Cricetulus griseus: one gene and its partners. The protein of the gene in region 1 purifies or fractionates together with the protein of each later gene. This does not show direct contact. Links are inferred from orthologs where the notes say so. Each region holds a gene or a part of one and is shown on either strand. Other genes may lie near its edges.

The links.
Region 2: the proteins of Fbxo42 (region 1) and Rbx1 purify together in Homo sapiens (affinity purification with mass spectrometry; 4 studies listed by BioGRID and IntAct, with this or other methods). This does not show direct contact. The link is inferred for Cricetulus griseus from reciprocal best matches to the Homo sapiens genes FBXO42 and RBX1.
Region 3: the proteins of Fbxo42 (region 1) and Rbpj purify together in Homo sapiens (affinity purification with mass spectrometry; 3 studies listed by BioGRID and IntAct, counting the BioPlex papers as one, with this or other methods). This does not show direct contact. The link is inferred for Cricetulus griseus from reciprocal best matches to the Homo sapiens genes FBXO42 and RBPJ.

Annotation. Positions count from the first base shown.
Region 1 is NC_048595.1:12,081,625-12,085,274, forward strand, and holds part of Fbxo42 (F-box only protein 42), read right to left. Parts: coding exon 3,583-3,650; intron 297-3,582; coding exon 180-296; intron 1-179. UniProt on the Homo sapiens protein: Substrate-recognition component of some SCF (SKP1-CUL1-F-box protein)-type E3 ubiquitin ligase complex. Specifically recognizes p53/TP53, promoting its ubiquitination and degradation.
Region 2 is NC_048595.1:378,619,643-378,623,733, reverse strand, and holds the start of Rbx1 (E3 ubiquitin-protein ligase RBX1), read right to left. Parts: upstream 2,859-4,091; 5' UTR 2,780-2,858; coding exon 2,702-2,779; intron 899-2,701; coding exon 820-898; intron 1-819. UniProt on the Homo sapiens protein: E3 ubiquitin ligase component of multiple cullin-RING-based E3 ubiquitin-protein ligase (CRLs) complexes which mediate the ubiquitination and subsequent proteasomal degradation of target proteins, including proteins involved in cell cycle progression, signal transduction, transcription and transcription-coupled nucleotide excision repair.
Region 3 is NW_023276807.1:121,904,990-121,908,639, reverse strand, and holds part of Rbpj (recombining binding protein suppressor of hairless), read right to left. Parts: intron 3,117-3,650; coding exon 2,942-3,116; intron 1-2,941. UniProt on the Homo sapiens protein: Transcriptional regulator that plays a central role in Notch signaling, a signaling pathway involved in cell-cell communication that regulates a broad spectrum of cell-fate determinations.

The DNA of each region.
Region 1 (3,650 bases):
ACTGAGTTGCATGTCAGTCTTCACAACAGGTTTAGATTCACTTTTTCCTAATTCTGTTAGAAACCCTCATTTTACATTCTCTTCATTAAAAAGACAGACAAAATGCAAGCCTCCCAAACAGTTTCTAGAAACACAAGTACAGGCAGCATGGGACCTGCTTTCCCAATGTGGATACTCACTGTGGGAGAACCGCTGAGTGATGGGGGTTCCAGGATAAGGGTAAGTCCTGCTCTCCCACTGAATGTTTCCTTCCTGGACAGCCTTCATGAAACCATGGTAACACTGGTGGGCTACACCTAAAGATGAAAAAACCAGAGGCATCAGCTTGGATACCTAATTTGTGGAGGGAAAAAATCATTAAAATTGTAGCTTTTAACTGTTTTATCACTTGTGTAAAGTCATAAATGTTTTGAGAAGTCCAAATTTCTCTCATTTTCATTCAAAGAAAGGAAACAGAATCAGGAAATGTCAAGATAGAAAGAACTACATTTTACCAAGGCACAGGAGGTTCAGAGATGTGCACAAGTTTACTAAATCAGCTCACACGACAACCCTTGTCCACTTTGGTTATATCATGTGGCAATAAAGATAATGGGTAGCATTACTACAAAGCAAAGGGGGTGGGAGTAACTTATCTTTGTGAAGGAATATGATAAAGCAGTGTCTATAATGTAACAGCTGCTCAAAAAGCTCTGCAGTTAGAGCATGGCAATGAGGAATTCCCCAGCTTAGGTAAGAACATAGATTATTATATAACAGATTATGAAATGTTGAGTGTGTGTCTAAAGGCTGTGTCTTAAAAATTAAGAGCTTGGGTGGGCTGGAGACATAGCTCAGTGTTTAAAAGAACACTTGGCTGCTCTTCCAGAGGACCCATGTTTACTTCCCAGCACCTACACAGAGACTCAGAACAATCTGTAACTCCAGCTCCAGTTGGTGGTGGCACACTCCTTTAATCCCAGCACTCAGGAGGTAGAGGCAGGCTGATCTCTGAGTTTGAGATCAGCCTGGTCTACAGAATGAGTGCCAGGACAGCCAGGGATACACAGAGAAACCCTAACATGAAACACCAAACATAAAATGAAATGTATTGAATATTAGTAAATAAGTGAAGTTCAGGGGAAAGCTGACACCTTTGGCCTCTGAGGAGACCTACACACCCGGCATACACTCTCACAGACACACTCATCTGTGATTCTAAAATAAAATCATGAGAGTCTGAGAGCACAAAGTACTCAGAGACACTGAGAACACAGGTACACCCAAGTGTGGGCCCAAGCTCAAGGAGTGTTGTGGCCCCATCTTTATTTTTTTGGGAAAGCATCGTCTTTCTTTTTTTCTTTTTGAGACAGAGTCTCACTGTGTAGCCCTGGCTGGCCTGGAACTCAATTTGCAGACCAAGCTCACTTTGAATTCACAGAGATCCGCCTGCCTCTGCCACCTGAGTACAGGGGGTGCTCTGGAAGAACACTATGTACTGTTAAGCCATCTCTCCAGCATACTCTTCTTTCTCTTGCCTTTATGTTTAGCATATATTAAAATGTCTCTACTATCCCCCACTTCTGCTTCATAAAAAAATTATTTAAGGGGCTGGAGAGATGGCTCAGAGGTTAAGAGCACTGGCTGCTCTTCCAGGGGTCATGAGTTCAATTCCCAGCAACCACATGGTAGCTCACAACCATCTATAATGAGATCTGGTGCCCTCTTCTGGTGTGCAGGCACACATGCAGGTAGAACACTGTATACATAATAAATAAAATCTTTAAAAAAAATGAAGGTCAAGCTCTGTCTTCTCTCTTATTCTCTGCCCTGCTCTGTTCTTCCATTTCTCTCCCTCTGGATTTCCCTCCCTATAATAAACCATGGTTAATGTAAAAAAAAAAAAAAAAAAAAAAAAAAAAAGAGGAAAGAAAGAAAGAAAAAAGAAGGTCAAGAGCACTTGAGGAAAGGCAATGGAAGTCAGCCTCAGGTTCCACATCCATGTACTCACATACCTACAGCCACACACTAACAGGTACTTACAACACACACACACACATATACAAACACAGATAAAGACAGACACACCAGGCACACAGCTGTCTGTAACTCCAGTTCTAGAGATATGATGTCCTCTTCTGACCACCATAGGCACCAGGCACAGACAATACATGCAGGCAAAACACTCATACACATGGAACTTGCTTTGTAGACCAGGCTGGCCTCAAACTCACAGATCTGTCTGCCTCTGCCTCCCAAGTGCTGGGGTTACAGGGGTGTCCCAGCACCACCCATCCAAATAAATCAATCTTTAAAAACAAAACAACCATCATTTTGAAACTACAAATTAATTAAATACTATTACTATTATACAACTGTATAGTATTATACATTAATGTTCTAGATGTTCATAAAATTAACCAAGATAAGAAAAATGTGTTAACTTATCTAATACTAATTTTTACAGCCATAATGTCTTTAAGGGAGAAAAGAAAAAAGGGAGTCTAAGAGTTCTTTTCCATGGCTTTCTGTCCAGGCTATTATTTTTTGGGGGGATGGGGAGTAGGGGTAGGGATTGTCATAGATGCCATCTATATCCCTCTTTCTCAACTGTGAGTCTGCAGTCCTTGATACCACTGCAAAGGTAGCTTCCTTGCCCTTTACAGTCAGCAGAAGCACGGATCATGAACGTCCACAAGGTTTCCAGTGACGGTAAGGACCATAGACATCCACATGGTCTCTGGCCTCAGCACGTGCCACAAACCTCAGCATGGTCTCCAGTGGCAGTACAGACCACGGATGTCAACAGAGTGATCAAAGAGAACTCTTAGAAATTGTGACAAGGGTGCTGAAGAGTAGCTCTCCATAGTTGATGGCTTCTAGCAGGGATGTGGCTGGAGAAGGACTCAGTTTTCTTTAAGGGCTGGCCACCAGGAGTTTGACCATGCTCCAGTGAGTATAAGGACAACACAAATTGGACATGTTTTTCTTTTGTTGTTTTCTTCTTCTTATTGTTGGGGAGGTCACAAAGGTAGAGGGGCAAACTTTGGAGGACTGAGAAGTAAGTATAATCAGGGTGCATGATGTGAAATTCCCAAGAAAAAAAATCAATAAAAATATTATGTTGGAAAAAAAATCACAAATTAAAAAAAAGAAAGAAAGAAAGAAAAAGAAGGCCTGGTATTGGAAGAGTAGTTAAGTGGAGAGGATCTGGGAGGAGATGCGAGAGGGGGAATCATGATCAAAATATATCATAAGTTTTCTATTAATAAAGATAAAAACAAATGAAAAGAGGGGGAATCCAAAACTAAATTACTCAATAAAATAACCATAACACAATCATGTTTATGCAGTTAGGAACTCTTGCTGCTCTTCCACAGAACTGGATTCAATCCCAGCTCCCACAGTAAGTGGCTCGCAGCCTACTGTAAATCAAGATCCAGGGATCTGATACCCTCTTCTGTCCTCATGGGTACCTGCACACATGTTAGCATATACATACACAGACAGACAGACAGACAGACAGACAGACAGACAGACACACACACACACACACACACACCTCTTTAAAACACTTGAAATAACCCGTCTTTTCCATAGTACCTTTGATAAGCCGATACCACTGTTTGCAGACCAGAGCTGCAGTTTTGTGTTCCTGATACGGTGAGAGG
Region 2 (4,091 bases), about 370 Mb from region 1:
TAGCCCTGGCGGCCTGTAATTTGCCACAATACTCCTGTTACTGCCTCCCAAATGCTGGAATTACAGGTATGCACGGTTTATCTACCTTCAAAGGTCACTTTCTTTCACTATTGTGTCTGTGTAAGATGGGAAGAAACAACATCTCTTCCTATAACTCATTCTAAATGGGATCTTGTTGGCTTTACAATGAATAATTTATTCTGAGACCTGGGGATGCCTCCTAAGACATTATTTAAAAAAATAACTTTATTTGAAACGGTTGATAGCAACCGTTTGGGCAAATTGTTTTTTGTTTTGTTTTGTTTTGTTTTGGTTTTTTGAGACAGGGTTTCTCTGTGTAGCTTTGGAGCCTATCCTGGCACTCGCTCTGAAGACCAGGCTGGCCTTGAACTCACAGAGATCTGCCTGCCTCTGCCTCCCAAGTGCTGGGATTAAAGGCATGTGCCACCAACGCCCGCCCGTCGAAAAATAGTTTTAACTATTTAACTTAATAATAAAAATAATTTTGAGTGGAGCTGAGTACTGGTGGCTCAGGCATTTAATCCCAGACCTCAGGAGGCAGAAGAAGATGGATCTGAGTTTGAGGCCAGCTGGTATACAAAGTAGTTCTAGTACAGCCAAGGCTACACAGAGAAACTGTGTCTCAAAGAACAAAATAAATTTATTTCAAACACACCAACGGATGAGATGCACTCATGCCCAAGGGTTTTGACCCTGCTTTGTATCTATCTACTTGTAAAGAAGAAAATTGGTCACATCAGGATGACCACCATTTCTGTAACCTTTTCCATTTCTCTCCGTCCTCCCTGAGTTACTTACAAAGATCCATAATGTGGTTCCTGCAGATGGCACAGTTATCAACCACAATATCCCAGGCCCAGAGGGCTACTGCATTCCACTGCAAAGACAAAGGGGGTTAACAATGCATTTTCCTAGTAATGTAACAGGATTTCAGGTTTCAGTTCAAGCTACCAACTCCCTGGCCTTAGGGGCTATCAAAGAAAGAATGTTTTTGGATTATACTATTTGTACTACATCAGAGGACAACAGCAAACCACATGTATGCTTCCTCATTCATCTGAAGATGTAAACATGGGATGCTTCAATTTTCTGTCTATAGTGTAAAATAATTTAGCTAGTCCAACCAATGTAAGCAAATTAGAAATATTTTTTAAACACCGGTTTTAGATTTAAAGAAGTACAAACTTGAATTATTGTGGAGCTTTCCCTGGCAGTTGTGGAAGGACTCAAAATCTGCAGAAGTCTCTGCTCTTCAAGCAGTTTTGGACACATAAGGAGGTGAACAGAATGGAGTAAAATGATGACAGGATCATAATGTGGATAATCGTGGGATAAGCCGGATAGCCAGTTACCTACCTAGCTTCAGTACACAGAACAAGGTCATCACTTAAATCTTAACAGATTAATTCATGGCAAAGTAGAATCCACTACAATTTTCTTTCCCTCTTATCCTGGAAACTGATGTTGTCAACTTTTATATGTCCAAACTATTAATTCTAGTAAGCAAGTCGATCTAAAAGTAGTTCAACTGGCTTCTGCAATTATACATACATATTGACAGACACCCCTTTCAAGGGCTCTTTCAAATTCAAGTCTCAGAAGTTCAGTAACTTCTACATCACTTTTTATACCACAGCATCAACTCGGGGGGTTGAAAAAAAAACGATTACTTCTATTCTTCAATATGGCTGCTGGCTGTAACTGAGCAGCAATGGCCACAATGAGATGCCAGAAAAGGGGGGTGGGGTGGAGGGTGTGCTCAGCGACACGCTCCAAAAATACATGAAAACATCTCTCCGACTACAATATCTTCATTTTTACAGATTTATGTATTCTGAGGTAGGAACTGACACCTTTCTCTCAAACTGTTGGCAAACTATGAAGGGAACAGCATGCAAAAAGACTTTCGACATTTTTGCTTTCCTGCTCCCAAATCATGAACAATTAGTATTCCACTTTCCTAAATGCCACAAGTTCTGGGCTTGCTTTTAAAACAAAGCCCACGAAGCTTTGTAACTACTGATTTTGATAGAAGGGTATCCGGACGTTACAGAACTATGGGACTGGCAAAACCTATACGTGACAAGCAGTAGACATTTCTGAAGAACCAAGTCTTATACTCGAGACTAGGGCCTTAGAGCCTAATGGAGGCCTCCATACAATCGAGGACCCACACCAGGTCTCTCCGAGTCAATAGACTCAAGGATCCAGGAAGGGGCGGGGCAAGGAGAACACCGACCGACAGGGCTCCTGAGAGCCTCCTCTGCGGTAGGGGCTCACGCTCCCGGCTTTCTCCGCACTGCCCCATCCTCCACCCGCCGCAGTCTCTCCGAGAGCCTCCATTCCACCCACCCCACCCTGTCCTTCCCCCACCTCTCAGTCAATTCAGTGACAGCTCAAGCGCTTGGCTCCCGCAACCAAGTCGACGCAGAGTATTTCAGTAAGACATCCTGCGATTGGCCCCTCAGCTACCCCAGCGAAACTTATATGGCCTCAGAGACTGGGTCACCATCATGCCCATCAATCCTAAAGCCCGCCCCCCAGCTTCCTTTTCGTGGTACCCGGTCCCAGGAACGCCCTGAAATGAAGCTCTTTCCCCCGCGCCCCGCTCGTCCTGGGGCCTGCCAGCCATATCCACACCTCTCTAGCTTCCCTGAGGAAAGTGCTGGCCAGACCCAACCTTTTTCACTTCAAAGCGCTTCTTGCCCGCGCCGCTGTTGGTGCCGCTGGGGGTATCCACATCCATCGCTGCCGCCATTTTGGAAACACACGAACACCCGGCAACTGCGCTTGCGCACCGGGTCACACGTCGCCTCCTGCTCCCCACCTCAGGCTCCTCCTCCCGCACCCCTCCCCTTATTGGCGCGCGCGGGTGGAAGGGGCGGAGCCTTCGCCACGCCCCTTAAAGGCGCAGGCGGATGTTCTTCGCCCTCCGCTGGGGAGTAGGCTTGAGGCGGGGCCCGGCGGGGCCGAACTATGTGAGACAGCCGGTGGGAATGTCCGTGAGGTTTCACGCTGCTCGCCTTCAGGGCACCCTCTTGGCCTGATTCCTTCATCTGGGGCGGTGGCTGCCCTTCTTTGCCGGGACTTGCACCTGGTCCATTCTCACAGCGCTGCCCTCCGGTGCTGCGATGGAAGGGGCTTGGGCGGGTCTGTGGAAACCCGAGACTCCACACGGGCCTTCCTCTGGTGGTGGCCAGCTTTGGGGCTACGCGGTGTGGCAGTGTCCTGGAGGCCTGCGGCCAGGTTTCCCAGAGCCCGGGCACCAGCCGAGTTCCCAATGAGTTTGGGAAATGATTTGATGGGGAGAGAAGAGGCTTGAATGTTCTGCCCCAGACCTAACAGACATTCTGCAGCTCTGCCTTCGCTTTCTCACCAGAAAGAGATGGAGAACGCTTAATTAAGAGCCTGGGAGATGCCATATTACCTCTCCTAACCAGCCAGTCCTAAATGTCGTCCCTTTCTCCCCATTTCCTATCCCAATTTGGCTGCTTGAACTACAGTTAAACTAGTTTATCTGTAGTGGCTGGACTTGAATTTGGATGAGGCATTCTGATAATCTTACCGCTCATTTCCATCGAGCTAAACAACATGCTCCCACGTTTAGTGCAGGCCTCCATGGTTCTATCTCCTAAACTAGCAGAGGCATGACTGAAATATATCACCTTGAATTTTTTATATTTTTATTAGTCCTATAATCCTAGGACTTGGGAGGTAGAAGTAGAACGCCGTGGTGTTCCAGTTCCCACAACAGGACAACAAAAGAGTTATATTTGTAATGTCACATATCCTTTTAAAAGAGATACTTATTGGAGAGTAATGGAGTGTTGTTAATGTCATTGCTGAGCAGGGCAATACTTCCAGAAACAACACCACAGCTTTAACGTGCACAAAGAAAATGTGTGACAGCCTGGCTGGGCCTGCCTGTATGTGTTTGTCCAAGTTCTGCCTCCCATGTTAAAACTGTCATTCATTTATTATGTGTTAACAAATTCCCTATGGGATGCTAGAAATCTACAGTTAATTAAGATACTGAGGACATACTTATTCATTATTCAACAAATATCTTG
Region 3 (3,650 bases), on another chromosome or scaffold:
TACTAAGCAACAAACACACTTCTGTATGAGCACAGGAGCGCTTCTAGGTACTTTCATTAAAACCCTATAAAATACATGTTGAAAGGTCTCTACAGGCAGTCCCACTGCATTATGATTTTAGGGAATTCTGCAATCTCCCAAATACCTGTTTGTTTTTGGTTTTTTGTTTTTCGAGACAGGGTTTTCTCTGTGTAGCTTTGGAGCCTATCCTGGCACTTGCTCTGTAGACCAGGCGTGCGCCACCAACGCCTGGCTGAAAAACAATACCTGTTTTATAATTTGTAAAATTTAAAAATAAAGATGTACTTTAGATGTAAAAGGCACATCAACTTAACAAAATATTCAGAAGTTAAAAAAATATACCCGCCCCAAACTAAAACCTCAGCCCTCTGAAATCTGAACTGGAAACTGCCTGAATACCAGACAAGATGCCAGATATGACCTGGTACACAAGAGCATATGGCCATCAATGAGGACTTACCAAAACAAAGAAAGAACAAGCTTAAATATGACCATGACAAACTGTCCTCCTGAACAAACTTCAGAGGTCCTCCTCCCAGCATTCCTTTCTATCAGTTTTCACCTGGGCCCCAGCACAACCTTCTAAGTCTGGTTTTTAGCAAATCAGTCACACCCTTCCCTTGATACAGGAATCACTCCGGCTGTCATATCAGGACTCCTATAAAGTTGCTTTAGCAAAAACTCCCTTGTCCTTGATTGAGTGATTGATTGATTTTTTTCCATCCATTAGGCCCCTCATTTTCCTCCTTGGCTGAAAACTGGAACTTGCCTTTGTTATATTGAAAGTGAACATGACTCTATACTAAAGTCTCTTCTCCTGAAAGAGTACTAAATGAAGTCTGTCTTTCCATTGTTCACTGTGGCAGCTGTTTCTTCTAAACATTACCAATTTATAGAACATACATTGAACCACACCAAAAGAATGAACTTAACAAATCTGAATGCATAAATTCCTAATGCCTCAGGTAAACTGCATGGGAACATAGATTAAGAATACCCATGTAGATGGCAATGTTGTCTGTATATTGTAACATCCAGTGAATTTCAATTTTGACTCACTTGGTTAAAAATTCAATTATTTTAGACCATTCAAAATTTGAACACTGACAGAACATTAGAAGCATCTCTCCTTATGCTTGCTTTGCATGCTATTTTCTTATGATCATGGTATTATACTATTAAAAAATAAGAAATTCTATCTGTTGTAGCTATAGGAAGCAAATGTCTGAGATTATATCAAACTACAAATAAGTAGGAAAGCAGACTGAACTAGAAGAATGAATTATGATGAAATAAGACTGGCCTGAAATTAAGTCACTATTGAAGTTAGGATTTCCATTATTATGTAATTCTGTTTGCTTCAGTGGTACGGAATTTTCCATATTAAATAACTGATAGGAATAAAGACTAAGTATGTGGAAGTTATATAAAAGAATTGGAAAATCAGTACTGTGTGTACCTCGATGAAGTAAAGGCCACTAAACCACTAGTTTACAGGTTTCTCAGGAGCCTTAGGAGGAAATTAAACAAACTGCTGAACTTATTACAGTATTAATGTGGCAAAAAGGAGGGGGTAACCAGATATTCTACGATTTCTAAGCCAGTGAGAATGACCAGCTAATTTTAAGTCTTTAATCATCAGGCCATAGAAAACCTAAGGCAAAGAAACAAGGGACGAATCAAATCCAGAGTATAAAAATTCCATAGGATTCAAAATGACCCAGTTTCTTCAATAAGTAATTAAAGGAGGTAAGGAGAGAATAGAAAAACTATCACAGATTAAAATTTATGGGCCTACTTAATTCTATGTTTGAACAAGCTAACTATAAATGGAACAAAATATAACAACAACAAACTGTATATAAAAAAAGATTGCCGAGTCACTATGACTAATCTACTCATGGAATATTAAATGACATTAAAAGACTGTCAACTTTGTGAGGTCTGGTGCTAAAAAAAAAAAAAAAAAAAAAAAAAAAAGCCATGCATTAAGAGTCAGTACTACAGAAATGTTAGTTGAAAGATTAGGATGTTGGAGATTTACAAATATTCCAGCAGTTAGAAAGGGAAGAGGTGCTGTTAATGACCCACCACAAAACAGAGTTAGTAAAATTACTGAGGTTGGGGAGATTGTTGCATGATGCTACTTTCTTCCTTTTACATAAACTTAAAAGTTTATACAACAAAAAACATACAAGTCAGTCAACCAATTTCAAATGTGCTGAAATGTAAACTCACAGACAGTACCCAGACAGCCTTGGTAGTTTAACAATCTGCCATGAGACAGCAGCTCCTGCTGCAGAGACCTTTAGACATTTGGTTTAGTGTCTTACCTGGCTTTCCAGAGCATACTATGATGTTTTTGGAAACGGGTACTTCCGCCATTCTGGAAGGATAGATTTTTTTGGAATGGGAACTACCTTGGGCACTGTAGGACATTTATTATCACTGGCCCACAGCATCAGGTGCTTAACATTTATCTTCCCTCCCAGTCAATGAGACAAAAGGAGAAAATTCCCTCCATTTCCCTGGAACAGTAAGAAACCACTCTAAAGTAATCCTAATGAAATGAAGTAACAGATTCTCAGAACACGAACTGAGAATGAATCACTTCATTAAGCCAGACACTATTTTTTTTTGTTTTTCGAGACAGGGTTTCTTTGTGTAGCTTTGGAGCCTATCCTGGCACTCGCTCTGGAGACCAGGCTGGCCTCGAACTCACAGAGATCCACCTGCCTCTGCCTCCTGAGTGCTGGGATTAAAGGTGCGCGTCACCAACACCCAACACTACTTATTTATACTTAAATGTAAAACACAGTAAGGCCAAAAAACAAAAACAATGAATTTAGGTTTTAAAAAGTTTGTCTCATTAATGTAATGTGATAACTGGGAACAAATAAGGAAACTTGAGCATACATACAGTCAGCATTTTTCAATGACTGCTTCTTTTTGGAAGGTTTGGAGATGACTTTTATCCGCTTGCTGAGGAACACGCCAATGTCATCACTGTTGCCATAGAACATCTTTACAGACAACATGAAGTGTTTTCTCTTGTCTGAATCAGATATGTACAATGTTTTGGCTGTGCAGTAGTTCTGTGAAAGAAAAGCAAAGTGGTGTTACTAGCAGCAAACCCTTGAGGTTATGCACCGTCCACTCAGAATGGTGTGGCTACATCTGACACAGCATGAATGATACCACTCATATGGATAACCTAATGAACTGTTCACATTGCTCTCTAAAGAGAAATCTTTAAGAAGTTTTCAAAACAAACAATGGGGAAGGAATGACAGGCTCATGAAAGGTGAGCCTCTTCTGAAGATAGAGGTCAGCAAGGACAGACCAAACTCAGCTTATGTGCCTAGAAAGCTTAGTCCAGAAAGCTGAACTTGAGCATCTCCTAGGCAATTCTCGAGCTGGAGACGATATGAATGAATCTCAGTGTTCAGCTGTGGGAACTGAATATTACAGTCATTAAAAAAGCTGTCTTCAGGGTAGTTAAGAAACCACTACATCAATCATTCCAGTTCCTCAACTTGAATCAAGTCCACTTAGTACAGGAAGGGAAGGAAAGCATTGCCTAAGTCAACTCAAAAAAAAAAAAAAAAAAAAAAAGCTGCACAAAAAAA